Linked DNA regions of Canis lupus familiaris. The protein of the gene in region 1 interacts with the protein of each later gene in a biochemical or structural test. Links are inferred from orthologs where the notes say so. Each region holds a gene or a part of one and is shown in the gene's direction. Other genes may lie near its edges.

Region 1 (14,702 bases):
GTTAGAGGCAAATACCATAGATTTTGCTCATATGTGGAACTTAAGAAAGAAAGCAAATGAGCAAAGGGAAAAAAGAGAGACAGGCAAACTTGAGAAACAGACTCTTCACTATAGAGAAGAAACAGATGGTTAACAGAAGGGAGGTGGGGGGGATGGGTTATATAGGTGGTGGGGATTAAGGTGTGCACTTGTGATAAGTACGGTATGTTGTGTGGAAGCACTGAATCATCATATTGTATACCTGAAACTAATTTTACACAGTATATTAAATTACTGAAATTTAAATAAAAACTTTTTTTAAAAAGGGCACAATTTTTAAAATGGCTCTTGATATTACTGCCAAATTATTTTCTTGCTGATGCTTTCCAGTATAGTCAATAGGTTGCTTCATCTCTCTTAGACATAACATTGACTCCTTTACATGGCAGTGTCAGTAATGACATCGAAACCTACTACCTAGGGAGGGGCAGACTTCAGCTATTGCTTCAGAACCTCTATAGATGCCCCCTTTTTAGTTCCCTCTTCTGCTCAGCCCTGAAATTGCCACCTTGAATCCCTGTCTAGCATCTGCTACTTATTTTTCCTGTTATTTTCCTGTGGAACACTTATCAAAATTTTGACTAAGGGTGCCTCTGTAAGTTTCGGTTTATTAATTCCTAATCAAATTGAGAAATTTCATTTTTTTCTTTGGTTCTTCTGCAATCCTACCTTTGTTTTTCCTTAAGTGTTTTGCTTATGTAAAAGTGGAAAATGAAGATAATACTGGAAAGCATAGAGATAATAAAGATCATCCAAAATGCCATCAAAATTAGTATTTCCAGACACCTGTGTGCTTGCATGGATATTTCTATGTAAATGAGATAAACATTACTTTTTCATGGAGGGCAGAGTAATCTAGCAGAAAGAGACTGAGGTATAAATCCCATCCCAGCTCTGCCAGTATTTTTTTTTTTTTTAAGATTTACTTATTTGAGAGAGAGAGAGAGAGAGAGAGAGACAAAGAGTGCAGACAAGCACGCACACACAAAAGCGAATGGGGGAGGGGCCAAGAGAGAGAATCCTCAAGCAGATTCCCTGCTGAGCACGGAGCCTGATACAAGGCTCAGTCCCATGACCCATGAGATCATGACCTGAGCTGAAATCAAGAATTGGACACTCAACCAACTGAGCCACCCAGGTAGCCCCTCCAGCTCTGTCATTTACTTATAACGTGACCTTGAGTACTTATTTTTTCCTCCATGTATTAAAAGAAGGGCTAATAACACCTATCTCTTGGGGTTTTGAGAAAATTTAAATAGGTACTCAATGAATATAAATTTATTTTTCCTTTTTAAAATTTTTCTTCAATTTATTTTTCCTTAAACATCAACATTGAGGTGTTTAATATATTTTGACTAAATAAATGAGGTATTACAAAGAAGAGTTTCCTTGTGGACTTCTATTTGGAATGGTTGACTCTGAGTTCATCTAACTAAACTATCTCATATTCTATTTGCTATCTTCATTCTTAAACCTGCTTATATTTTCTTCTAGTTTCAATTAAAAATGCAGCTAAGTGGGGTGCCTGGGTGCCTCAGTCAGTTAAGCACCTGATTTTTGATATTGGTTCAGGTCATGATCTCAAGGTCATGAGATTCAGCCCTGAGTTGGGCTCTGTACTCAGCAGGAAGCCTGTTTGAGATTCCTTCTCCCTCCCCCATACCCCTGCTCATGCAGGCACTCTAAATAAATAAATCTTTTTTAAAAATGCAGCTAAGTGAGACGCCTGTGTGGCTCAGTGGTTGGATGTCTGCCTTGGGCTCAGGGCATGATCCGGGGATCTGGGACTGGGTCCTGCCTTGGGCTTTTTGAGGGGAGCCGGCTTCTCCCTCTGCCTATGTCTCTGCTCTCTCTGTATCTCATGAATAAATAGATACAATCTTTAAAAAAAAAAAAAAAAGGCAGCTAAGTAATTTTAAGCAAGTCACTTACTGCAGTGTACAGTAAAAACAGAATAGTTTCAAGTAGTACTTCCTAACTGCAAACTGCTATACAAATTTCTTATTACTACAAAAGTTAGTTCATTGTGCATTTTAATTCATGACTATTATCTTGTGGCCACATTCATCAACCTCTTTTTTTCTACTACATCACTCAGCTTTCCTACATTTGTCTTTTTCTAATCCTTTGGTTTACTGTTACTGTGGCTCAGAATCACAGATCTCTGCAAGGAAGCATTTGATGAGCCCTGGAGGAAACCAGAGATATGTTCACAAGTCACACATAGTTCAAGATGTAAGGCTTAGACTTTAAGATAAAGTAAAAAGACCAGAAGAGGTGAGGACTGTGTTTGAAAGAGAATAGAGCCTAGGAACAGGACATCTGAATCCTAGCTGTTACTTTAGCTACATGGACTTTAGGTTAAGTTAGTAAACCCTTCTGGAATTTCCCCATCTGAAAAGTGGAGGTGGTAACAGTACTTACATCATAGTACTATGAATTTGAGATAATATGTGTGAAGCTCTTAAGAACAGTGCTTGGCACATTGTAAACACTCAGTATATATCAAATATTAAAATTATTATAAACTGTTAAGTGGTTAACATCAGGTGGGAAGATAAAGCAAGAGTTTGTTAGTTCAGAGAAACACTGAATGTTAATTTCAGTAGCTCTATTTCATAAACTTCTTCCTTCTTAAGCCCTAATTCTAGATTGAAATACTTTTTTTTTCCTATAAAATTTCTCTCTTTGGGTCAGATTTTTTTTTTATTTAAACAGCATCAGTTCAAAATACTTGAAGGCAGTAACAGTAAAGCTATTAATTACAACCTTAAGTTTGGCTATTTTTCTACTTTATTGTATGTAGAAGAACAGCCGTGTTTCCAATTTGTATAACCTAAACATTTGTTACTGACTTTCCTCTGGTATAATTGGAAGTAGGAGTAGGGAGTAAAGAAGAAGGCAGGATTCAAAGCTTTGCTTCACAACATTTTAGGTACTAGAGCCAAAGGTCTTTCATAATGCCACAGAGAGATAACATTCATCTGACAAAATTGCCATGCACTGCATTTGCTTTTAACATTTTTATCCATTTCTGTGACATCCAGAGACCTTATGTTTTCTTTTAATTGCAAAGAACAAGAGACTCTATTGCTATAAAAGCTATGTTCAGGTTTAATATTACAAATCGACTGCATGTTGGCCAGGTCTTCACCTGGATATTTTGAGTTTGGCCTGCAGGGTTCTGAATATTGGCTGCTAACACTTAAAAATCCAGACATCTCGCACAAAAATCGTTTTAGGGTTTCTCTGGGCGGGGGGGGGGGGGGGTCGTCATCTCAGAGTATTGGACCCACATCCCTGTGGGCAACAATCCGCTGGTGCTTAACAGCCGCTCTTTTCAGTTATAGCATGGGCACTAATTTGCCATATTTCTTATTACTCTTCATTGTTTCACACCAGGCCAGTTTCATTCATTTGCTTTCTTTTTCCGGGCCCCGTAGGCATTTGAGTCTGTAAACCCTATCTGGACTTTTCCTGTCTCCCATCAAAGCTTACTTTGTTCCAAGTCCCTCGCGAGTTTTTCAAAGCAGCGGCGAGGTAATCTGATGGACTAGGAGTATTTTCACATGTGCTTTCTGGAGATAGTATCTTCACAAAAAGGATGACTCTGCAGGTGGAAATTACAGGCACCACGGGATTACGGTCAGGATGGCAACTGTCCATTCTATCTCCTTTTTTTTTTTTTTTTTTTTTTTTTTGGTATCCTGGCTTAGCCATACCTCACGGTCCCCAGGCAAACCTAAGGAATTTGGTTCTCGGCCGAACAATGCACGCGGGCTTCTGTGTGAAACCTACGTAACTAGTACTCTTACGGCCTGCCCTAGTTCCAAAGGGCAGAAAGCCACGGGCTCTTCTGAATCCCCGCTTCCTCGGAGGCTTCAGGATATCCGGCCCGACGGCGTCTCCCCATACCTGTTCTCGGGGCTCGCTCTGCGCCGGGCCGTCGCGCCCAAGGAGCGCGCGCATCCAGCATGAGCTCATTTCTCAGGGGCGTTTCCAGAAGGCCCAGCCCGGCTGCGCACGGCAGGCGCGGGCGGCCTCACGTTATCAAAGGCCCCCGCCGCTGGGCAGGGCAGGGCAGGGCAGGGCAGGGCAGGGCGCGGGCGCCCGGGGGCGCTGCCTGTCCGTGAGCTTTCCTCCTACTTCAGCGTCTGAGGGGGCTCGCGCCCGGCGGGGCAGGCGCCCCGCACCCGTCTGGCCCTTTCGGGGAAGACGCTGGTTCTTCGGCCGCGCTCTCCCGGGGCGGACGGGGGAAGCCCCTGTCGCCGCTCTGTTCGCTTGAGCGCTCCGGGCCGGGCGCCGCCGACCGCAGCAGTTTCGGACCCGCTGCGCACGCCAGCTGCGGTTTCCACAACGACCGAGAGCGGCCGCAGACCAGCCCGGCGCACCGGCCGCCACGACCCCGGCGCGGCTCCCCTCAGCTCCTGAGGCCGCCGCCGCCGCCGCCGCCGCCGCCGCCGCCGCCGCCGCAGGCGGAGGGCCAATCACAGCGCAGCTAGGTCTTGCGATTGGACGGCCCTGAGCGCTGATTGGCTGCCGCTGCGGGCCTCGGCCTCCCTCCTTTTCCCTTTCGCCCCCACTCCGGCTCCAAAGCTTCGGGCCAATGAGAAGGCGCTTTGTAGACGTCCTCCCTTTTCTTTCTTCTTCTCCCCGCCTCGGCGAGGGAGGAGACGTCCTGACTGGCCAGACTGTCGTCGGAAGCCCCCGTCGCCTCGCCAATCCCCGAAGCAGGTACACTCCCAGCGGAGTTTTCGGCCAATTACGAAGGCGGCCGGGGCGCCCAGCCGCGCCGTTTCACCAGTGACTCCGGGTTTCGCCGTCCTTAACTCCTCCAGCCTTTCGGTGAGGGCCGGCGGCTGTGATTGGCCGCCGCTGCCATTGTCGGATTCCCCCGCTGGCCAGCCGCGGGACGAGCCCCGACCTTCTTCTCGCTCGGCGGTCTTCGGCACTTTCCGCTCTTTGGGCGTGGACTTCCGGCGACACTTTGTAATTGGTTCCTCGGGCCGATCGGCTTTTTCCGGGAGGAGCCGCAGGCAGCCGACGTCCGTGATTGGCTGTGCCTCCGGCCTCGGTTCCGTCGCCGAAGCGGGCGGGCGCGGACCTCGGCCGGCGATTCCCAGACGCCTGTTACGCGGGTGGCGGGGCGCTGGGCGGTGGAAGGCTGGGTGGGGGAGGAAGGAGGCGGAGGACGAGTAGGAGGGGGGAGGGGGAGTGGGGAAGAGCTAGGCGGCTGCGCAGACGGCGCTCCTCACACAGAGCAGCCCCCGACCCGGGCGAATGCAGGCTTGTGCTGCCGCCGCCGCCGCCGCCGCCGCCGCCGCCGTCGCCCGGGCCGAGTGACAAAGGAAGGAAGGAAGGAAGCGAGGAGGAGCCGGCCCCACAGCCGCTGACAGGGCTCCGGGCTGGGGGCAAAGCGCGGACACTTCCTGAGCGGGCACCGAGCAGAGGCGAGGGGCGGGAGGGCGGCCGCGCTGGTGCCGCGGACGGGGGAGGGGGCCCCCGGGGACGGAAGCGGTTGCCGGGTTCCCATGTCCCCGGCGTATGGGGAGCAGTCGAGGATCCGCCGCCTGGGGTCTGAAGGGAGCTGCCTCCGCCGCCGCCGCCGCCATGGCCGCTGGATCCAGCCGCCGCCTGCAGCTGCTCCTGGCGCAATGAGACGAGGAGCCGCCGCCACCGCCCGCCTCTGACTGACTCGCGACTCCGCCGCCCTCCAGCTCGCCGGGCCCCCGCCGCCAGCCCGCCGGATCCCGCCGCCGCCGGAGCCGCAGCGTTTCCCGTCGCATCACCGAGCCACCCCCTCCCTCTCCCTCCCTCCTTCCCATCCCCCCTTCTTTTCAAGCGTGAGACTCGTGATCCTTCCGCCGCTTCCCTTCTTCATTGACTCGGAAAAAAAATCCCCGAGGAAAATATAATATTCAAAGTACTTCTTTTCAATCAAGTATTTGCCCCCGTTTCACGTGATATTTTTTTTAAGACCCCCCCCCCCTTCTTCCTCCCTTCCAAGGAAACGGAGGGGAAAGAATTGTATTTTTTTTCCCCCCAGCCCCAAATCATCTATATGTTAAATATCCAAACTGGTCTGTCTTGAAGGAGAAATACATCACTCGTTTTTTTTTTTTGTTTTTTTTTTTTGTTTTTTTAATTATACAAAAGGAGCGAAAAGCCAAGAGGACGAAGTCTTTTTTTTTTTTTTTTTTAATCTTCTCGTGGGAGAACTTAATGCTGCATTTATCGTTAACCTAACACCCCAACATAAAACAAAAGGAAGAAAAGGAGGAAGGAAGGAAAAGAGGGTGATTCGGGAAGAGAGTGATCATGTCAGGGCGGCCCAGAACCACCTCCTTTGCGGAGAGCTGCAAGCCAGTGCAGCAGCCTTCAGCTTTTGGCAGCATGAAAGTTAGCAGTGAGTATTGATTTTATTTTACGCCCCTTCTCCACCTCACCCTTAAAATAAGAAACCTTTAGTAACCAGGATCTTAAAACATTAGACCTCCTGATACTAATAATCAGAGGTATTGAAAAGGGCAAAAACCTGTCTTAAGTCCAGGGTTAGGCAGCTCCCTCTTTTTCTCCTCCCGCACCACCTCCCACCCCCCCCCCCCCCCCGGTCTCATTAACCTTGAATTGAGAGAATATGCTTTTTATTTGCACGATTTGATTTGGAACTTGTTTCTTACACTTTTTGTGCGGTTAGTCGTCCGCCTTATCAAGTGTGCTTGACTGTTTCTATGTTAAAACGGCGATGAAAGTAAATAGTTGCTCATCCCTTCGGAAAAAAAAGGGGGGGGGGAAGGACAAGACGATTCAAATTATTATGTACATTTGCCGAGTACGTGTCTTTTAGAAGGAGGGTTATTTCAGCTCAGGCCTCGGGGATTATCGTAGTTTCGTGTACTTGCTAGAAGGACTGTAAGTGTCACAGTCTCCTAACATTTGTTTGTTGCCTGTGTGACTACAAAGTATTTGTTCTTAATCCGGAGATGAACTTGCTCAGTAACTCGTATTCACGTTTGGAGGAGAGCCTCGAGTTCTCCCTTTAGAAAGGGGTCGGTGGGAGCTGATAGAGACCCAGTAGCAGTTGTATTGCTACAGGCATTGTTTTAATTGGATACACGATTTAATGTTATCTCTTAACCTCCTCGTTTTGACATTACCAATTTACCACTATATAATTTATGTTTAATCAAAAGGTAACTTGGAAGTAGGGCCAAGTTTTGATTGAGGTTTGTCTTGTCAGGTTGCCAAATACTAAGTTGAATGTTAATTGTCACTGACTCATCATTAAGTTCAGTTTTGGGGTGCCATTTGCATTCAGCACTTGTTCAATGATCTGGAGTTCAAGGGCCCCCTTCTAAGGACTATTTACCATAGTATTTAAAATACTCTTGCATTGGTTTCCTGCCGCAGTTAGAGAAAACTATGGATTTAGTTATAACAATCTGGATTTAGACCTTTCTGTCACAGGTTTTGCAGAAAGCTGTAGTCCGGGACATAATAAGGTATTTGAGCTTGTGTTCAGGGTTGTTGCTAGACTGTACTTTGTCCCAGATTTGTGCTAATAGTCTGTGTTCTTGAGGTGTTTGGTATACTAAGTATCTAGTGTTCCAAAGTATCTCTATTTGTAGATATGTTTATGTGGTATTTAGCGACAGCTTATTTAAACCGCACTTCCAGAATTTGACAAAAATATCTACATTGTTTCCTTATTCCTCTAGAAGGGGGCACAGTGAGGGCAAAGAAACTATTTTGCTGCCTAGGATAAGGAAAGAACTGAGATTTTTAAAAAAAATATGTAAATACTGTTATGTGAAATTGATTATATCCTTAAGCAATATAAACTTATCACTTTTAATTGAGCTCAGGATTTCAATTCATGTTGCCTTTTGGACATGCCTGAAACAGGGTGGTCTAAGGTAGTAGCTGAATAGCAGGTCATTTTTTAAAGTTACTTATTTTTGTGATTAGTACAGAATGCAGGATATGTGAAGAAAGGGGCTGATGATGCATTTTTCAGAGAAGAGTCAAGCTTTCTAAGCACTTCATGGGGTCATTTGAAAGGAATATTTTAAAATTCTGGGGTAATTTTCAGCTATGATGAGGCAAATCTTATAATAGCTACTTAAGAGCCTCTTGTGGTACTGGAGTGTTTGTATGTTTTTCATCTTGGTAATATAGTTTAAAAACCACTTGAAATCAATTTTAGGTAATTATTTTATTAGATCAATTTCAGAGAGCAAAACAGAATGGCTTATAATGTTAATTTTTGGACTTTTCATTTTGTTTCCAAGATTTCCTTTGAAAATGACTCCTTAATTCTTGGTAATGTGGATGTTGACTGAGGATGGAGTAACTCTTGTAAAGTGCATAGGTTAAAGGTGTTTAATTTTCTATTCTCATATGGGTCAACATTTAAAAATTGGAGTTCAATGCTAATTCTGTGTTTTTGACAATCTTAACTGTAAGGATTTTTTTTTTTTTTGGTAAGGACATTTTAGAAGAAAGAAGTATCCTTAAACATTTGTTACAGTGCTACTGTTTTATAAAGGACCCTTGTTCAAAACAGAGATATGTAGAGAAATTAATGGCCCCAATGGCTTATCATTTAGTCGTAGAAGCAGTATGGTACAAAATATGAAAACAATAGCATGATGACTGCAAGATTATAAATACAAATAGAATGCTTTGTTCAGAGGGATGAAGAATACAGGGGTGAGGCCTTCGGGTTGGAGAGGAAAGAAAGACTTGCTGCTGCGATGTGTTTTAAGACAGGTGTTAAAGGAGGCAATCACTTGAATTCATAGAGAAGCATAAAGGATTCTAGATGGAAGGAATGGACAGAGGCACGGAGATGGTGATTTTTCTATGGCAAGTAGATAATTTTTGTACTTACCAAGCAAATTGGTAAATTTGAATTAAAGGGGCCTAAATAGGAAAATAAGAGATAGGATATGGGAAATGTGTTAACCATAGCTGATGGAGAGCAGAGGGGGCCTCTAAGAGTTTGGATGCAGTTCAAGAGACATTGGGATTTATTGTATGTTGATGAACAAGATATTTGAAAGTGATTTAGCAGCTGTGTTAATGGATTACAGTAGACATTAGAACCCTTTTAGCGAGACAGTAGGGTGTGTTGCTAATCATGAAGAAATATAAAATAAAATGTGAAAATGGTATGAAAATAATGCATTTGAGAGATAGTGTGAATGAGGAACTGGCGGGACTTTGGATTGGATCGAAGGGAAATGTTTGGGAAGGAGTCAGGAGTTAAAAATAAATTCTGATGTTGTTGGTCTGGAAGACTTGACCGTTGAGTTATATTGTCAATTGTAATGGGAAAGTTGAGAAAGTGCTGAGATGAGAGGGTAAATGAGTTCACTTTTTAAAAATTTGATGTACAATAGGTTCCCTTGAAGTTCAGCAGGCAGTAGTATTTGGTTACTGGCAATGATATTTAACTTTACAGTCTATTAATTGCACAATTTCTAATTTCTCTTCATCTAAAAATGTTGGATTTATTTTTGGGAGCAGTAAACTAACGGTTTTTACTTAAATGCTTTCTATTAAAGTCTTAAAAAAGAAAGTAATTTTTTATGTAGATTCAAAAGCCTCACCCTTGATCCTAGTTATAACAACGGTTCCGTGGTTTTGAAAAACAATGGAAATTTTTTGGACTAAACTATGACATAAAAACTTTAGGTATTTTAAATAGCCTTTAGTTTAATCTTTGGTATGTTTAAGCCTATTTTTCATAAATAATGGTTATTAGGTAAACTTTGCACTGAAAGTAATGATAATAATACAAGTAAGAATAGTTTTTATTTGGTTTGTGAAGGCTCCAGCAGAAATTAAAAGTTGTTTTTTTTTTTTTTTTTAAAGATTTTATTTATTCATGAGAGACACACAGAGAGAGGCAGAGACATAGGCAGAGGGAGAAACAGGCTCTCCGCAGGGATCACGCCCTGAGTGGAAGGCAGACGCTCAACTGCTGAGCCACCCAGCCATCCCAAAAGTTGATTTTATAAAAATATTTTTTGCCTCGTTAGTTGAATTAAGTAAGCATTCATCCCAAGTTTATATATCGACTTATTTATTTTAAAGATTTATTTATTTATTTTAGATAGAGGGAGAGCATGAGCAGGAGAGGGAAACTCAAACCGACTTCACACTGAGGGCAGAGCCTGAAGTGGGGCTGGATCTCAGGACCCCAAGATCATGACCTGAGCCTAAACCAAGAGTAAGGCGTTTAACTGACTGCACCCCCACTTGCGCCCCGCATTCATCCCGAGTTTAAATCATGTATTTAAATTGTATATCTGAAATATTTTTACTTACTAAGGTGAAACCAGTATTTCTTTTTGGTTCACATCCAGATGCAAGTGTTATTAAAAATATCTTAACAGCTATACAGTTCCTCCTGTAGAATTGTGTGATATTTTACTCAAAGAGGACTGTCTATGGTGATTGTGATTAAAATATTAGTAATAAATCCTTTTGGTATACTGTTGGCAAAAATTTAGCTGATTGGCTAGGTTTAATTTTTACATACAAGGTTTGGAAAAGAGGAAAAGAAATCAGTGAGAATCACTTATTTCCTCATATAAAACTTTTTACATCAATTTTTTTAATGAAGAGAACATAATTAATAGTAGTTGCATATTACTGTGCAGTATTTAGTTGTATTAAAACCAAAGACTACGTGGCAATTTAGTTACTCTGTTCCCAAGGTAGTTTAATCTCCTTGCACCTAAAAATTAGGTTATTAGAATTTAGCCAATTTCTAGATCATTCGCATTTATGTGGATGAGATCTTGTGTATGAAACTGAAAGCTTTACTTTCATTAAGTTTCCATTCCTTTTCCGACCAGACCTTTCCAGAGTTGTTAAAACACTAATACTTTCTCATAGGAATTGCATGCTCTCTTGTTGCATGTACCTGTAGAATGCTAATTGTGAAATGACTATAAGGCACAGGTACTAGGACAAAACTTCAAGGGAATCCAGAGATTCACAAATCAATTTATGGCTGATTGGGAATGGCATTGAGAAAATGAGGTGACATTCATTTCACTGGTGTAGGGAAAATCAGTTCTTGCACCCTGTCCGCCTGCCCCTTGTTTTAGACTTCATTTGGAAGTGTGAGTTACTGTTTTGGAGAAACAGCAAGGCTGGTGAAGCCAGAGCTTTCTAAGTGTCAGCAGCAGGTTCTGAGACTGGAGGATCTCAGTTTTTGTGTATGGTTTATGTATAGAGAATGCTGTGAAACAGGAACTTGCTGACCTATGCCACATTTCCATACTTTTTAATGAGACTAATGGGATTGTGGGATAGGGATAGAGATGGGCAGACTGTAAATCTGTGCTGTCTCTTGTGATGCTCCACCCTACAATGGAGAATGGAGGGACAGAGCACGTGGGTGTGACTGGAGTATATGCTGGTGCTAACAGGACCAACCTGATTTCCCAGATACTGTTATAAAAACATAATAACCATAAGTAAAGGAATTTGTTGGAACATTTAGCATCATTTTCTGGCATATTTTTGGGTGGGAGGTGTGGTGATTTCAAGGGTAGAAGTATTTTTGTGGTGTACGGGTTTTAGAGGAGAGATTGCAGTCTTTGCTTCTGTCTTGGATTGTACAAATCTTGGTAATGTGAATTGCCTTTGAAATTGGTTGAATGTGATGTAGAACTGTATATTCACATGAAGACCTCTGAATAGTACAAGGAAAAACTGACAGTAGAGTTAAAGGAGAACAATTTGTTTTCCCAAAGGTTTTTACCATTAAATTGATTTTAAAAAGGGCTTTTATGCTATTCTGTTTATTACTGAGTTTTCTGTTTTCAAAAATGAGTTAATACGCAGCACATGGACATTCAGAAAACTATTTCAGTGTATACTGTGTCTGTAATGTGCTTGGTCTGATATAAAATATGAAGATACAACTCTGTAGATTTGGATTCTTAATTTACAGCCCTCCTTCCCACTTTTCCTTATGTTTTAGGTAGAAAGAGCTACTTTGGAAGGATATGCATGTTAAAATTTTGTGAATAGTTGAATCTTATATTTTTGTGTTTGAATAGTTTTCTTTTTTCTTTTTTTTTTTTTAAATTTTATTCATTTATTCACGAGAGAGAGAGAGAGAGAGAGAGAGAGAGAGAGAGAGGCAGAGACACAGGCAGAGGGAGAAGCAGGCTCCATGCAGGGAGCCCGATGTGGGACTCGATCCCAGGTCTCCAGGATCTCGCCCTGGGCTGAAGGCGGTGCTAAACCGTTGAGCCACCCAGGCTGCCCCCTGAATAGTTTTCTGAGAAGCATTTTGGTTTGATTAGATTGAGACAATGATGTATTTTCTTGTTTTTCAGTTCATTCTCTCAAATCAACTTTTCCTTTGTCTTCAGGGTACCATGGCCAACTGTTGCATAAAATATAAATCTCTTAATATGTTCCCTTTTCAACATATTTTGGAGTTGTTAATTTCTTGATTGTCCTTTGAAATCAATTTAATAATAAAAAGTAAGCACTTATGATGGAAGAGGAACTGTTTTCCTAGAAAATTGTATTTCAGATGGTGGTGAAATTTAAATGAATTTACAGGCCTGGGATTGAACAGACATGCCCTAAAGTCAGAGAGGTTGGTAGGCAGGCAAAAATAATAGTAACACTGGTATGAAGCACTAATGTTATCTTTTTCATTTTCCTTAATTATATCATGTGAAATCTTTGGCTTTTGAAGCTAAAAATAAATAGGCTACTTTAATAGAAAGTTGAAACAAATAATAATGTGATTGACATGTGATATGCCTATTGAATGTTTACTGTGTTCTAAATAAGCATTTTGCCAAATTTTTTATATACAATATTTCAGTGTAATCATAACTGTAATTCTACAAAGTAGCTAATGCTGTTATCCCCACTTGAAAAAAAAATTTATTCATGGGAGACAGAGAGGCAGAAACACAGGCAGAGGGAGAAGCAGGCTCTCCGCAGGGAACCCGAAGCCCCCCCCCCCCCCCCCCCCCCCAGGATCATGCCCTGAGCCAAAGGCAGACGCCCAACCTCTGAGCCACCCAGGCGTCCTTTTTATCCCCACTTTAGAGATTAGGTAAATGAAATTTAGAAAGGTGAAGCAGTTTATCCAAGATTACATGGAAAAAAGTTGCTTTGCTAGAATTTAAACCCAGGCATTCTGATTCTAGAGCTCTTGCTCTTTATTGTATATGTTTTAGAGAATTGTAATGGTGTTACCTGTTACTTGGATTCCAGAGATAAGCTAAAGTGCCTTTTGCTTTTAGGATTGTTTTTCATTGATAATTAGTATATGTGTAAGACTTTCATGATTAGTACTGCTTTTGAAATTAGTTTCAGGCATGCCTGTTAGCAAATACAGTTCTTCAGTTTTTATAGTTTTATATATATATATATTTTTTTTTTCAAGATTTTATTTATTCATGAGAGACACACAGAGAGAGGCAGAGACACAGACAGAGGGAGAAGCAGGCTCCATGCAGGGAGCCCAATGTGGGATTCGATCCCAGGATCACGACCTGAGCCAAAGGCAGATGCCCAACCATTGAGCCACCCAGGTGCCCCAGTGTTTATAGTTATATTGAAAAAAGTCAATTCTCTTAAGATTTCAGGAAAATTTAAGAAAAACATGAGAGTGGAAATATTAGGAATTTTATGCTAGTCTAAAAGGAAAAATAAGTAACATTTTTTTAATGTTCAGAGAACTGCTTTTTATTGAAAAGTACTGATTGTTCATAAGTAAATCTGGTATATTTATATTTTCAGGTAATATTAGAATGTGATTCTTCAAATTAGCTATTAGGATTATTATTTCTATCTCTTCCTATAGGTTGTGAAGTGTTCTCTTTCTCCTTTTAGTATTTGATACCAAACTTCGTGAAAGTGTGTGTATATATATATATAATTTTGCGATTTTAAGTATATACAATTAGTTAAGTGTCTCGGACATTTGTTATAACTGTGAGTCTTCAGGGTTTCTGTTGTTGTTGTTGTTTAAAGAATAACAGCAGTGCATCAACGTGGAATTGGGTTGTTTGGAACATCACTTTTTTTTGGAATTGGTTGGTATTTGGCAATCAGGAAGTAAACCAAAAAGGCTCCTGAACATCTGAACTCCCCAGACAAATGGTGCAAATGCTTTGTTCATCGTTGGTTTTTTAGGTTGTTATTTACAGTTCTTTATTATTATTTAACACAGTTGTAATTCATTCAATTGCCTGTTTTTTAAAAACTGCAAATTAGAAGGGAATGAATGAGCACTGATACTAAGCATTACACCTCCTAGAAAGAATAGAAGGAAAAGCATGCATGTTGGGATTACTTAGTGTAGGCTTACAAGCTTCAGGGGCAATAACTCTGATAATTGTTCAAAATGTTGACCTAGAGAAGGTTATCTCTCTTTTAAAAGGGCAGAAGGATACCTAGGGTTCTGCAGTAACTTCTCATTACATCAAACATTCTCTAATTTGTTGGTCACTGAAGTGATGAGAAAGATAACTGGGTCATCACTGTCTGGTTGACCAACTTTATTTGTATTTCAGTGATATGGATAAAGGTATTAAAGTTTTTAATATATTGGCCGAGATATTTTAATACTCAGCAACAGCGTTTTATCTTATTTAAGGTTGTTTATT
Region 2 (14,763 bases), on another chromosome or scaffold:
CCCCCCACCCCTCTGTCAGGCTTCCATGAGCAGCGTTCCCACTGCAGCCCCAACCCCTGCTTCCGAGGCGTGGACTGCATGGAAGTGTATGAGTACCCCGGCTACCGCTGCGGGCCCTGCCCCCCTGGCCTGCAGGGCAATGGCACCCACTGCACTGACATCAATGAGGTGGGGGATGGTGGCCCGGGAGGGCAGAGAGATCTGGCCCAAGGAGGAGGGGTGGATGTCCGTCAGAAGCAGAAGAGCCTGGGCTTTAAGACATTGGGGTGCTGGAAAAGGAGTGAGGAGGGGGGACACAAAGCCCATGGGGAAGACCAGAGGACCACATGGGGAGCACGGGGCCAGCTAAACCTTGCTGGGAGGGAGCTTAGGGGCCCAGGGGCAGGCATCAGAGTGCAGTGAAGCCGGGTGGAGAGAAAAGCACAGGCGGGCCTGACTACTGATTGTTTTGTCCTCTGCCCCCAGTGTGCTCACGCTGACCCTTGCTTCCCTGGGGTCAGCTGCATCAACACCATGCCTGGCTTCCACTGTGAAGCCTGTCCTCGAGGCTACAAAGGCACTCGTGTGTCCGGTGTGGGCATCGACTATGCCCGTGCCAGCAAACAGGTTAGCTTGGGCAGAGTGTGAAGATGAGGTGTTGATCTCATGGGGACCAAGGGTATCTAGGCTGGATCTGGGGTCGTTGTGATGAGTGGGATTGGGTGTGTGCACTGGCTTTGCTGGAGGAGACCTGCCGTCAGTCTGGTTCTACCCAGAGTCTGCCCCTTCAGGTCTGCAATGATGTGGACGAGTGCAACGATGGGAACAATGGTGGCTGTGACCCAAACTCCATCTGCACCAACACTGTGGTGAGCCAAGTGCCCCGAGTATGTGTCTGTGGTGCTGGGGTGTGCGGCCACTTCAAACCTGTTGCGTGGCCACCTCCTCCTCTTGGGCAGTCCACATAGATGTTGCACACACAGGTTGGGAATTCTGGGTCCATTTCCGCTGTGACCTTTAGCAGCCTTCCAGAGCCTCAGCATCCTCCCCTGAAAACTAGGGCTGGGATACACATGGACAGGCTGCCAGGAGAGCCCAAAGGTACTGCTGGGTTTAGCTGGCATCAAGCTGGGTGTGCCTGTGGACACCCCTCAAGTGGGTCAGTGTTGGTCCAAGGTGCTGGGCAGGCTGACCCTCCTTCCTGAGACGTTGCTTCCCTGTCCTTAGGGCTCTTTCAAGTGTGGTCCCTGTCGCCTGGGCTTCCTGGGCAACCAGAGCCAGGGCTGCTTCCCAGCCCGCACCTGCCACAGCCCAGCCCACAGCCCCTGCCATGTCCACGCGCACTGTCTCTTTGAACGCAATGGGGCAGTATCCTGCTCGGTGAGCTAGGCCTGGGGCCTGAGAGGAACAGGAGAATCTGGAGAAAGGGGGAGGGCCATGAACCTACTTAGGGCCTGGGATGGGGCCCCACATGGGAAAGGGCCCCGGGAACTGGCTGGGGAGAATGGAACTGGGGTGTGAAGAGCCCTACTGGCCCTCACTGCTCCCCTTTTTTTACTCAGTGTAATGTGGGCTGGGCCGGGAATGGGAACGTGTGTGGGACCGACACGGACATTGATGGCTACCCGGACCAGGCCCTGCCATGCATGGACAACAATAAGCACTGCAAGCAGGTGGGGGGGGCAGGCAGGCGGGCGGGCTGTGGTGGGCATCCAGGCTGGGGCAGGCCACGACTCATCTGAGCTTCTCCCCTGACATTTAGGACAATTGCCTTTTGACACCCAACTCTGGGCAGGAAGATGCTGATAATGATGGCGTGGGGGACCAGTGTGACGATGATGCTGACGGGGATGGGATCAAGAATGTCGAGGTGGCTCCTCTGCTCCCCTCCACACCTTGTCCCATAACCCTGCCACAACCCCCTCAGTCCCTGGCAGCTCTGCAGGACGGGCCCCAGTACTCAGTTTGGGAGGACAAGATGGATCACATGGAGGGTGGGCAGGCAGGCCATCCTGAGAAGTGATGGCAGACAAGGGCTCAGGGATAAGGTGAGGGCTGGGTGGCCAGTGGGGCAAGGGAAGCCTGACTCTTTGTCCCGCCCCAGGACAACTGCCGGCTGTTCCCCAACAAGGACCAGCAAAACTCTGATACAGATTCATTCGGGGATGCCTGTGACAACTGCCCCAACGTTCCCAACAATGACCAGAAGGACACAGACGGCAACGGGGAAGGGGACGCATGTGACAACGATGTGGATGGGGACGGTGCAGCTGGGGCCGGGGGGACTGGGAGGCCTGTGAGGATTCGGATGCTGGTGGGAATGAAGGGCAGTTGGGCAGTGTGAGACCTGTGGTGGGGGTAGGTGGGCTGGCAGAAGTCCCTGGAGACGTGAAGAAGGAGGCAGGGGGAGGCAGGAGTGGGCAAGGGGGTCCTGGTGGATTCTCTAACCTGCTGTCCTCTGAGTGGGAGACAAGCTCTGGGCTTTCGCTGACCCCAAAAGAGTGTGACATGTTGTAGTGACAACCTTGTGCAACCTGCGTGTCTCGTAGGCATCCCCAATGGATTAGACAATTGTCCTAAAGTCCCCAACCCCCTGCAGACAGACAGGGACGAGGATGGGGTAGGAGACGCCTGTGACAGCTGCCCTGAAATGAGCAATCCTACCCAGGTACAGGGGATGGGGAGGACAGGAAGTAAAGCCCCAGCCCTTCACATGGGAAGCAGTGTGGCCATTGTCTTCAGAGTTATCAAGAGATGGTGAGAACAGGCCCCTCTCTCTCAGACAGATGCAGACAGTGACCTGGTGGGGGATGTCTGTGACACCAATGAGGACAGGTAGGGGGCGCCAGGAAATAGCTGGTCTCATCCGGGCTCCTTTACTTTCCTCCAGTCTGTTTTCTACTTCCTGTACAGCTTAATTGATTCTCCACTACTATTGGGTGGGAAGTCACTCCCCTAGGCTACCCCCCACTTTTGCTGTTGGAGCTTCGCCTCACCTGGCTGACTGCAGGGAATGTGGCTGAATGGAGGGCACACCCCAGACTCCTGAGCAGAAGAGAGGGGATGGACTTGGTACTTTTAGAGCTTTTACTTGATGCCTCTTCTGGGCAGTGATGGGGATGGACATCAGGACACCAAAGACAACTGCCCACAGCTGCCAAACAGCTCCCAGCTGGACTCAGACAATGATGGACTTGGAGATGAGTGTGATGGGGATGATGACAATGATGGGGTCCCAGACTATGTGCCTCCTGGTCCTGATAACTGTCGCCTGGTACCCAATCCCAATCAGAAGGACTCAGATGGTAAGGCTGGGGTCCCACAGAGGATGGCACTGGTGGGAGTCCTACCCAGGGGGAGGTGGTAGGTGCTGCCAGGGGGAAGTCAGGAAGACAAGGCCCAACAGTTGGTAGTGTTGTCTAGAGGCCACGACCAGGCCTTCCTGAATGCCTGGCTTCACTCTGCCCAGGCAATGGCGTTGGTGATGTGTGTGAGGATGATTTTGACAATGATGCGGTGGTAGATCCCCTGGATGTGTGCCCTGAAAGTGCAGAGGTGACCCTCACAGATTTTCGAGCCTATCAGACTGTTGTCCTGGATCCTGAGGGTGATGCTCAGATTGATCCAAACTGGGTCGTGCTCAATCAGGTACGAGGGCAGTGGGCTGGGCAAGTGCTGGACAGAGCAGACTACCAGGTGGGGCCTAGATGAGGTAGCGTACCCGGAACAGGGCTTTCTTCTTTACTACACACCACCAGGGTATGGAAATCGTTCAGACCATGAACAGTGACCCCGGCCTGGCAGTTGGTATGTGCGGGACACCCAGTCAATCGTTTCCAAATGGAGGAATCCTACAGGGGCAGAGGGAGGGGGCCACACTGGCCACCCATACTGCAAGCATTCCTTCCCACCCCTGGCCCACAGCAGGCCTGTAGTGGCTTTGCTGCCCTTGACCTTGATCCCACCCACCCCCAGGGTATACAGCCTTCAATGGTGTGGACTTTGAAGGCACCTTCCATGTGAACACAGTGACTGATGATGACTACGCAGGCTTTCTCTTCAGCTATCAGGATAGCGGCCGCTTCTATGTGGTCATGTGGAAGCAAACAGAGCAGACCTACTGGCAAGCCACACCCTTCCGGGCTGTCGCTCAGCCCGGGCTGCAGCTCAAGGTCTGAGTCTGCCCACTTCCTCCAGTCCCAAAGCCTCCTTGGGCTGACCCTAGGGCTTCCCCCACTGCCTGAGGGGGAACCCTCTTTCTTAGACATATGGCCTGGAAGCTAGCTCCCCAGGACTCTAGAATGTTCTCCGATCTCCTTGACTTCCTTTTCCACCTGCACTTATCAACCCGTTATCAACCTGTGGCTGAGCTGCTGTCTTTGCCAATACCCTCCAGGCAGTGACATCAGTGTCCGGCCCCGGTGAACACCTCCGGAATGCCCTGTGGCATACTGGCCACACTCCTGATCAGGTCCGACTGCTGTGGACTGACCCACGAAATGTGGGCTGGCGTGACAAGACCTCCTATCGCTGGCAGCTGCTGCACCGGCCCCAAGTTGGCTACATTCGGTGAGGGGAGGGGCTGCACCATCCTGAGGGACCCCAGCCCACTCTTTCTTCATCTGTAGCTGAGACTCACCAGTGACTGCCCTGCTACTCCATTCCTTGGTGCCATGGGCTGGGACTGAAGCCGCTTCTCTCTGCCCTCTCAGCCCCACTCTCCTACCTGTCAGGCAGCCTGGGCCTTGGAGCTGGTGCTGCCCAGGACCTATAGGCGATGTTGGGCAAGTCCTTCCTGGTCCATGATCCAATTTCCCCTCTGTAAAATGAGGGCATACCTTGGGAGCCTCTAAAGTGCAGGCCAGTCTGTGAAGAGGCCCGTGACATTCGGTGCCTTCTGTGGCACCTCCCAGAAGCTGACTCTGAAGGGGTCATTTGCAGAAGAGTAAACTGAGGCCCAGACCACATGGTTCTTAGTAGCAGAGCTAAGGCTTCTCAGTTCTGTGCTGTGTGCAGCACTGTGCATTTCCTAGTTGGTGGGGGTGACAGGGAAGGGAGGGGAAACGCAAGAGCCTAGGGTCCAGGGACTTGGGTTGGTTTCCCTTTAAGGTGCCTGGGGCTGCAGGGTGCCAGGGCAGAGGATGAGGGAGGGTGGACTAGAGCCTGGGAAGCGGGTGACTTCACCCCCCAGCCCATTGTGCTCATTGTCATGGCAACCCAATCCTCGCTTGGAATGCGGCTGGTGCTTTGAGATGCAAAGGGGGTGGACAAAGAGGCAGGGGCCCCAGTCCTGAGAAAAGCACCCCGTCCCTCCCCTTTCCTTCCTCCCACTCCCTCCTTCCGTTCTCTCTCTGGCCTGGTGAGCTCAAGGGGGGTTGGGGATGAGCAGGGCCTGGGTTCGATGGCCCAGTGCCTGCTGGCACCCTAGCACCAATGGACACCCCTATCCTGGACAGGGTGAAGCTCTATGAGGGTCCTCAGCTAGTGGCGGATTCTGGGGTGATCATTGACACAGCCATGCGAGGAGGGCGTCTTGGTGTATTCTGCTTCTCCCAAGAAAACATCATTTGGTCCAATCTCCAGTATCGATGCAATGGTGAGGCTCCAGTCTGAGATCACCCTGACCTTCTGTATCCCCTCTTGGAGAGTTCTATCTTCTGACCTTAATCCTTTCTCCTTCATTAGACACAGTGCCTGAGGATTTTGAGCCATTCCGGAGGCAGCTGCTCCAGGAAAGAGTGTGAAGAGGTGCCCACTGGACTCAGAATCCTGATTTTAGATCCTCCGGCCTTGGGGTCCATCCTGGAGCCCCTGGGGTCTAATCTACAGCCACCCAGCCAAACAGACTGTCCTGTGGCACCCACAGGTGTTCAGCCCCAGAGGGGTGGTGACCCCCACTGTCCAGGAGACGGAGCTTTTCAAGGGGTATTTTTCTCAGGAGCTAACCCCAGGAAAGATAACCTCCAGTTGCCATAAAGTTACAGTGGTTTTCTAAGGGAGCACGTGTTGCTTATATGAGGGACTTCCAGGGATGGTGCAGGGAGCAGGAAGGAGCCTGAGGGCTGGGAGGTTGGAAGTTCCTGAGTGTGGGGCCCCGTGGCGTGGCGGAAGAAGGGCACTGGATTGGGGCAGGTGAAGGATAAGGGGCTGACCAGAAGATGGCTAAAGCCCTCCCGGCCCCCCCTTACTCACGGTGTGGCAGCGGCGACAATCCAGTCTATCAGGTCGTTCGGATCGAGAGCCAGGAGGGCTGGAGCTGGGCCGCTCGGGGCGAGGGGGAGGCCGGGGGGCCGGGGGGGCCGGAGGCCGGGACGAGTGCAATATTGGCGGGGGAGAGAACAACACTGCACCGCGTCCCGTCCCTCCCGCCCACCCGGGGCCCGGGATCCCGCTCCGCACCGCCTGCAGCCGGACCAGCCCCAGGAACGGTGTCGCGCTGGGGAGTCGGGTCCACCCTGGAGGCCAGAGACTTGGCGCCTGAACGAGGGGGAGGGGACGGTCGTGGGGGGACGCGGAGGCCGGAGGGGAGACCGCGGTGGCCCGGAAAACTGCTTTCCGACACCCAGCCGTTGCGCGCGCTTGCTCTTTAAATACTCGGAGCGGGCGGCGCGGAGCTGTCGCCATGGTGACGCGTGTCCCAGCAACCGGACTGAATGGCTGTTGCCAGGCAACGACGGGGCCGAAGTTTTGGGCCCGCCCACTTAGATGCTAGCGCTTTCTCCCGCGGGCGGGTGGGGGGGCCTCCGCGCCAACCCCCTCCCCACCCCCGGGCCGCGCGCCCCGCCTGGCCGCCCGGCTTCTTCCAGCCCCACCGCACCCGAGTGCCCTGAAAGTTCCTTGTCCAGCCTGTACTCGCGGCCACCGAGAACTGGGGGGATGTAGCCTCCGGAGGGGGCCCGACCCCCGCGCTCCATGTGCTCTGTGCCCCAAATACCTCCCCGCGCCAGACATTCCTGCCCTCGTCCTCCTTGCACCCCCATCACGCCCCCACACAGACGGCCCGTGGTCGCAGCAGAGCCTGCCGCCCCCCAGCGTCGCTCGGGGGCCCCCAAATACCATTCTGTTGCCCCACCTAGTCCCTGCCTGCTAAGTGAGTCATTAACCTGACCCATTTCCCTTCCCACATTCCGCTGTCCTCTCCCACATACCTGGGCGCCCCTACCGCGTACCTCAGGGCCCCACCCACCGAGCGCCGGCTCCCTGGGACCCCGCCCCACGCGCCCCGGGGTCCCCTATCGCCGACAGCCCCTCCGTGGACTGAGCCGCGCGTCCCTGCGTTCTGCGGGCGAGCCCCTGACCTGCGCGCCGGGGCCCGCGTCTCCCCGACCTCCCGCCTCGGCCCCTCCGGCCGCGCTCTAGCACGCTGCTTTCTCCCGAGACCCCGGCGCCCCCGGTTCCCGCGCGCACGGCTGCCAGGCTCCCGGGGGCCGCCAGGGGGCAGGAGAGCCCGGCCCGCCGCTGACCGAGGATCCGACAGGAAAGACCCCGGGGTCCCGCGGAGCTTGAAGGGGTTCTAACCCCCGCCCCCGCCTCCAGAGAAGCTGAGGAGGGCACGCGGGCTGCTGCAGGGGCGGGGACTGTGGGTTTCGGGGGACCTGCGTGAGGAACGGGACAGGGAGCGGCTGGGACTGGCCGAGGAGCAGAGATTCCGGAAAGTGGCGGGGGGAGGGGGTTCACGAGTGGCACCCGGTCCACCCTTTTTCGAGCCGTCTCGCTCCTCCCCAGCCCCCGCAGGGCGGCTTCCAGGGACCCGGTGAAAATGAGGCAGTGGGGTGAGGGACCTAAGGGTGGGCTTCCTCGGCCTGCTGTCCGGGTCTGACGTAGCCCATTCCTCTGTTCCTTTTCTCACCCTGATTGTCGCCCTGAGGCTAAACGGGGAGCCCGGGAGACCCAGGTCCTGGACTCCCCCCACTCCTCCACTGCCTTCTGGAGCCAGGGAGTGGTTGGTAGAAGGAGTAGACCATTTGGAGAACAAACAGGTTGTCAGAGGGTTGAGTGATGGGAGCCCAGGTACCCTCCAGGAGGGCCCAGGAATGGTTGGGGAGGAGGAGGAAGAAGTCGGAGGTAAGGAAAGGGGGAAGGGGTGGAGTTTTGTTACCTGTCACCTGCTCGCAGGGAGTCTAGGGCGGGCTGGGGACCGGTATAAAGCAGCAGGCGCCTGTGATCGCTCCACCTCACACGCAGCGCCTTCCTGAAACTGTTCCACCTCCTCCCACCCAGTTCACCACCACCATGATTCCAAGCTTCCAGGCCCCTTTCTTCTTCCTGCTCCTGGTAACCCGAGAGCTTACAGGTGAGGGGCACAAGATGGGGGCTGCCTTGCTCATGGGGTCTTCCCAGCCATTCTGTGGGTTTTCTTTCCTAGCGGATCGCACCCCCAGGGGCAGAATTTGCAGACAGGGGTGACCCAGTCTGTGCCGGAATGGAGAGAGGCTAAGGACAGATGGGAGAGTCAGCCCCTCAGGAGAGCTGGCACCAGGACCTTACAGTGACCTGGAGAGAAGTCTGGGGAGGTGGTGGGAGTCGGGAGAGGTAAATATTAGGATTGGAGAAATGGACAGCTAAGATCAGAGGGTGTGGGAAGAGAGAGGGAGACTAACAGGAAGGAGGAAGAGGGCCCTGTCTCAGGCTCCATAATCACCCCAGCACAGGGAGGCAACTCATCCCTGACCAGCAGCCCAGCCTCAAGCTCGTCCTCCACCTTGAGAAAGCATAGCTCCTCGTCCTTGACCAGCAGCCCAGCCTCAAGCTCGACCACCAGCCTGGGAAAACTCAGCTCCTCATCCTTGACCAGCAGCCCTGTCTCAGGCTCGATAATCACCCCAGCACAGCATGGCACCTCATCCCCGACCAGCAGCCCAGCCTCAAGCTCGTCCTCCACCTTGAGAAAGCATAGCTCCTCGTCCTTGACCAGCAGCCCAGCCCCAAGCTCGACCACCAGCCTGGGAAAACACAGCTCCTCATCCTTGACCAGCAGCCCTGTCTCAGGCTCGATAATCACCCCAGCACAGCATGGCACCTCATCCCCGACCAGCGGCCCAGCCTCAAGCTCGTCCTCCACCTTGAGAAAGCATAGCTCCTCATCCTTGACCAGCAGCCCAGCCTCAAGCTCAACCTCCACCTTGAGAAAGCATAGCTCCTCGTCCTTGACCAGCAGCCCAGCCTCAAGCTCAAACACCAGCCTGGGAAAACTCAGCTCCTCATCCCCAACCAGCCGCCCAGCCCCAAGCTCGACCACCAGCCTGGGAAAACACAGCTCCTCATCCTTGACCAGCAGCCCTGTCTCAGGCTCGATAATCACCCCAGCACAGCATGGCACCTCATCCCCGACCAGCGGCCCAGCCTCAAGCTCGTCCTCCACCTTGAGAAAGCATAGCTCCTCATCCTTGACCAGCAGCCCAGCCTCAAGCTCAACCTCCACCTTGAGAAAGCATAGCTCCTCGTCCTTGACCAGCAGCCCAGCCTCAAGCTCAAACACCAGCCTGGGAAAACTCAGCTCCTCATCCCCAACCAGCCGCCCAGCCCCAAGCTCGACCACCAGCCTGGGAAAACACAGCTCCTCATCCTTGACCAGCAGCCCTGTCTCAGGCTCGATAATCACCCCAGCACAGCATGGCACCTCATCCCCGACCAGCGGCCCAGCCTCAAGCTCGTCCTCCACCTTGAGAAAGCATAGCTCCTCGTCCTTGACCAGCAGCCCAGCCTCAAGCTCGACCACCAGCCTGGGAAAACACAGCTCCTCATCCTTGACCAGCAGCCCTGTCTCAGGCTCGATAATCACCCCAGCACAGCATGGCACCTCATCCCCGACCAGCAGCCCAGCCCCAAGCTTGACCTCCACCTTGAGAAAGCATAGCTCTTCATCCTTGACCAGCAGCCCAGCCCCAAGCTTGACCTCCACCTTGAGAAAGCATAGCTCTTCATCCTTGACCAGCAGCCCAGCCTCAAGCTCCACCTCCTCATCCCCTACCGGCAGCCCTGTCTCAGGCTCCACCACCACCCCAGCACAGCATGGCACCTCATCCTCCACCACCAGCCTAGCCTCAAGCTCCACCTCCACCTTGGGAAAACTCAGCTCCTCATCCTGGGCCAGCAGCCACACCACCAGGACTACCGCCAGTACCACTAACCATAACATGGAACCTCCCATCTCCTCCAATCATAGCACTTCTCCCCAGTCTATTAGGATCTCCTTCTTCTTCCTGTCCTTTTCCATTTTGAACCTCCAGTTTAATTCTTCTCTGGAAAATCCCAGCAGCAACTACTACCAGGAGCTGCAGAGGAACATTTCTGAATTGGTGAGTAGGTGTCTTTATTCTTCTGTGCTCCATGCTCCCCCCACAGCAGCCTCCAAACTGCCTGGACTGTTTGCCTCAAGCCTTAGTCCTTCCATTCTCACCCCAGTTTTTGCAGATTTATGGACAGGAATATTTCCTGGGCCTTTATAACATCAGATTCAGGTAGGGGGTTCTGGGTGTGGAACCTGTGTGGGGGAGGGGCAGGTTGCCTTGGTTGGGGGAGTCTCTGCGCCTGAAGGTGGGACTTATGGTTGAGTCACCGCTTTCCCTGTGAGCAGACCCGGATCTGTGGTGGTAGAATCAACTCTGGCCTTCCGAAATGGTGCCACTGATGCCAACAAGGTGAAGACACAGTTTGAAGACAGCAAAGAAGGAGCCAGATATAACCTGAACATCTCGAGTATTAGTGGTGAGGCCACCTTTCCCAGCTGTGGCCCAGCACCATGTCTCTGTTTCTGTCTCCGGGGGCCCCTCTCTCCAGCACCTGGGTTCCTACTGTCCCCCAGGGTGTTAATACGGAAGGTCATTCCTTTGGAAGAATATTCTGACCCCTACTTTTCCTTTTAGTGCGAGATGTGTCCTTCCCTTCCTCTGCCCCGTTCAAGTCTGGGGTTCCTGGCTGGGGCATTGCCCTGCTGGTGCTGGTCTGTGTTCTGGTTGCACTCGCCATCATCTATGTTGTTGCCCTGGTAAGTGTTAGGTCTCCAGCCCTGGCCAGAAGCCCCCCTGCTAGAAGAAACTCCATGGCCTCCCATAACACCCTGTTTCTCCCAGACTGTGTGCCAGTGCCGCCGAAAGAACTGTGGGCAGCTGGACATCTTTCCAACCCGAGACGCCTACCATCCTATGAGCGAGTACCCCACCTACCACACCCATGGGCGCTATGTGCCCCCTGGCGGTAATAGACGCAGCCCCTATGAGGAGGTGAGGAGGGCCCCGCAGGTGGAGGGAGGCAGAGGTTTGGGCTGTGCGGGGCTTCTGAAAATGCTCAGAGAAGGTAGAATAGGAGAGGGGCACCAAGTAAGTGGTGGTGGTGGTGGCGGCCCACGGAGGCAGGAGGGGTGGGGTGGAACAGCGGGGGGAGGGGAGGAGACCTTGAGAGGAAGGGGATCTCAAAAGAGAGTGTCCCCACGACCAGCATTTCCAAAGCAGCATTCCCCGCTCCGCTGAACTGGCAGCACAAGCTGCTCCCTGGGACCCAGGATGAAAGGGATGTGACGCCATCAATGCAGGATGAGCACCTGTGCCCCTATTCATTTAGCTCCTAGGAGCAGAGAGTGGATTTAGAAAGTCTGGCAGGAATAGAGGGGGTCTCTGATGTGGGGGAGAAGTATAACCCATCCAGGTGAGCCTGGGTGCCAAGGGGTTCTCAGGAGTCTGGAGGAAATGAGGACCCCTCCTCCTTGTTTCTCACCTGGCCTTTCTCTCCAGGACCTAGTCAATAATTACTTGGGCCACCTGAGCGACACTCCAGGTCGGGGGAGGGGAATTTCCTTCCCTTGAGCCTGTTTTCTTTGCTCAGAGACTTCCTTCTCCCAGTCTTACAGAGGCAGATACTCCTGCTTGGGCTGGAGGAGCGCGATGGAAGGAGAAAGGGGCAGTAGGGGAGGGCGAGGGGGCTGCTGAGAGCCGAGGGGGGCAGTGAAGGGGACCAGAGGGAGGAGGAGTGGCCCTGCGCCCTGTTTACAGTCACCTGGCTGCTGCTAGTGCCCAGCAGGTGCTCTCCTAATTAACCCTTTGAGAGTTAGACTCTCGGACCTATTACCCCACCCTGTGGTGTGATCCAGGAGCCACTTCCTCCCAGGAAACCCACAGCTTCTCAGCCCATGTCTCCTCCCTCCACCCAGGTTTCTGCAGGCAATGGGGGCAGCAGCCTCTCTTACATGAACCCGAACCCAGCAGCCACTTCTGCCAACTTGTAGGAGCACATTGCCTGCCCAGCGGTCCAGATGACAATGCCACTTGCCTCCCCCAGACCCCCACCAGAGTCCTCTCCTCTCAACTGTGTTCTGGGCTGGTGAACTAGGGGGTTCAGGTGGGCTGTTCACAGACCCCACCATGTCCCCTACCCCATGTCAGCCCTGCTGATGAAGCCCATCCGAGCCCCTTGGGGACAGGGGCTCCCAGGAGGACTGACCCAGAAAGCCCCGGGTTGGAAGTACAAACCAGACCATGGCTGAATAAAATGGGGACCTCATCTGTGCTGACTGCCAATTTTGGATCTGTCATCTGTGACCCATAGGTGGGGGGCAGGCTGGGGGGGCGTTGGAAGGGATCTTTGCAGGAGTTGGGGGCAGGGAAAGAAGGCAAGGAATAGGCTTTGTCTGGAAAGCAGGAGACGTGGAGAGATGACATTGGGGCACAGGTCACCTCTGGCATCCCTGGTGGCACACAAGGAAGGAGGAAACGAAACTGAGTTGGCTTGGAGGCCAGCATGACCCGAAGTCAGTGTGACCCAGCTCTACCTGCACCCCTGGCTCTCCCCTCTCCTCAGGCTGGGGGCTGGTGGCAGCCACGCCCTTGCCTCCCCTTGGCCCAGTGCCCATAGGCGGCTCTATTCTTAGCTGCCAGGGTGTGAAGTAAGTCCGTGGGCAGTGATAACACAGGCAGAGTCAACATAGAGTCAACAGGCCACGATAAGCACAGCATTAGATCCGGACGCTGACGCCAGGCCTGGCCCCCTCCCTGGCCAGCAGGGTCTGCTCTAGGCACCTTGGGAATGGGGAAGTGGTTCTGGTTCCCTGACCCTTTGGGCCCAGGCACGGTGCCTGCCCCCCTCACCACATGCCCTGGGGGCCTTGGCCCTGGCATGGCCTTCAGCCACCAGCACAATATACCCCCTGAAGGCCACTGTCACCTGGAGCCTGAGCCAGAACGTGTGGCTGGAGGAGGGTTGGGAGCACCTGGCTTGGGATCTCCTTCCCTTGGGCAGCAGATCCCCTGAGCACCCCTGTTCTGAGCAGTAGCGGAGCTCCCTGGATCCTTCCCACCTGTCACACCCAGCGCAGAAATGAAAAGGGATGGTCAGGTTCAGGGAAGGCAGAGATGTGCCTGGCAACGTCATTTATTGTTTATAAACCATGAAAATAACAGCTGTTGCTTGGCACAGGCCTGGCAGTGCCCACTGCAGGGGCAGCAGGGAGCCCCAAAGGCCTTGCCTAGCCGAACCCACTGGGGACACCCAACTTCAGCTGGGGCCCCAAGGGAGACTTGGCACGTTGGCATGGGTGTGGGACAGGGTGAAGCATGCAAGAGGGAGGAGAGATACAGGCATGCGGCTGAGGGACATGGGACCTGGACAACTCAAGCAGGATGACAGGGGCCCCCATCCTCTCACCAGGGAGTGCCTGCCTGCCCCGAGGCTGGAGCTCAGCATCCATGGGGCAGGGAGCTGGGCAGGGCCAAGGGCAGAGCGCAGAGCTGGGGGCCATGCCCAGTGTTCCAGATGCCTTCCCTCCCAGTCAGCCTGGGGAGGGGTACAGGACAAGGATGGGGCAGGGGCTCTCTCCGTGAATTGGGTAAGATGCCATGGGCAGGGTGTGGGGCAGAGACTTGGTGGGGGCTGGAGCCTGGCTTAACAGGCAATGGAGAGAATGGGGGACATCTAGAAGGGTGAGCAGGGGAGAGTCCCTTGGTCAAGAGAAGGCCCCAGGAATACACAGACATAGGGAAAGGGACAGGACGACATGGCAGGAAGAGTTTGGGGAGAAGCTGCCGGAGGAATAACCCAGCTCCAGCAGGCCTGGGGACCAGGGCCCAGGAGGGGCCAGAAAGGGTCAGTCCAGCTTGGCAAAGCCCCCAATGGTGACCTTCCTCTCAGGCTTAGTGCCCACGGGCTCCTGAAGCTGCACTGCACCACCCCCAATGAAGCAGAAGGCAGGGCACACAGGCCCTGAGCAGTCCAGAGGGCACTCCAAGAGCCCACGGAAGGACACAGCATCCAGGAAGGAGACGCGGCCCCGTTCATAGTCCAGGCAGATGCCCAGGCGGGGTGGCAGGGGCACAGTGCAGCTGGCAGCAGGGCCATCCCGCCCTGTCAGCCCTGCATTTGAGCTGGCCCCAGACCCCAGCAGGATCTTGCCCATGCCGATGGTCAGGAAAGCGAAGGGCGGGGACGCCTCCACTGTGGCATCCTCGGCACCACTGTCATGCCCACTGTCCGGATCGTACCTGCAGAAGTGGAGTTGGGTAGGAGAGTGTTGGGGGGGAGGGGTGTGGCACTCCGGGTGGGTGGGTGGGGGCAGAGGCCTGAGCCCATGAGGATGGAATGTCAGGGAGCAAGTGGTTGAAAGGATCCATTTGGGGTACTGAGAGGATGTGTGCAGACACAGCGATGAAAATGTGGGGCTGCGGGTGTGAGTCTAGCGGGAGAGGGATATTGAAAGCAGGCACACTGGCAGGGAGGTGGCGGAGAAGGAGGGACTAGCTGGGGATCAAGTGTCCCAGGAAGACAGGAGATGAGCAAGTAGCAAGGAGAACCATGTGG

The links.
Region 2: the proteins of GSK3B (region 1) and MUC1 form a complex in vitro, tested with the Homo sapiens proteins (2 studies listed by BioGRID). The link is inferred for Canis lupus familiaris from reciprocal best matches to the Homo sapiens genes GSK3B and MUC1.

The regions. Positions count from the first base shown.
Region 1 is NC_049254.1:24,297,284-24,311,985, reverse strand, and holds the start of GSK3B (glycogen synthase kinase-3 beta), read left to right. Parts: upstream 1-6,200; 5' UTR 6,201-6,357; coding exon 6,358-6,445; intron 6,446-14,702. UniProt on the Homo sapiens protein: Constitutively active protein kinase that acts as a negative regulator in the hormonal control of glucose homeostasis, Wnt signaling and regulation of transcription factors and microtubules, by phosphorylating and inactivating glycogen synthase (GYS1 or GYS2), EIF2B, CTNNB1/beta-catenin, APC, AXIN1, DPYSL2/CRMP2, JUN, NFATC1/NFATC, MAPT/TAU and MACF1.
Region 2 is NC_049228.1:42,318,707-42,333,469, forward strand, and holds MUC1 (mucin-1 precursor), read left to right. Parts: upstream 1-8,175; 5' UTR 8,176-8,211; coding exon 8,212-8,272; intron 8,273-8,625; coding exon 8,626-9,421; intron 9,422-10,054; coding exon 10,055-10,277; intron 10,278-10,383; coding exon 10,384-10,439; intron 10,440-10,555; coding exon 10,556-10,686; intron 10,687-10,844; coding exon 10,845-10,966; intron 10,967-11,051; coding exon 11,052-11,201; intron 11,202-12,124; coding exon 12,125-12,199; 3' UTR 12,200-12,491; downstream 12,492-14,763. Other genes in the region: THBS3 (thrombospondin-3), read left to right, coding at 20-168, 466-606, 771-848, 1,207-1,359, 1,542-1,652, 1,742-1,849, 2,084-2,243, 2,529-2,647 and 8 more; TRIM46 (tripartite motif-containing protein 46), read right to left, coding at 14,054-14,447. UniProt on the Homo sapiens protein: The alpha subunit has cell adhesive properties. Can act both as an adhesion and an anti-adhesion protein. May provide a protective layer on epithelial cells against bacterial and enzyme attack.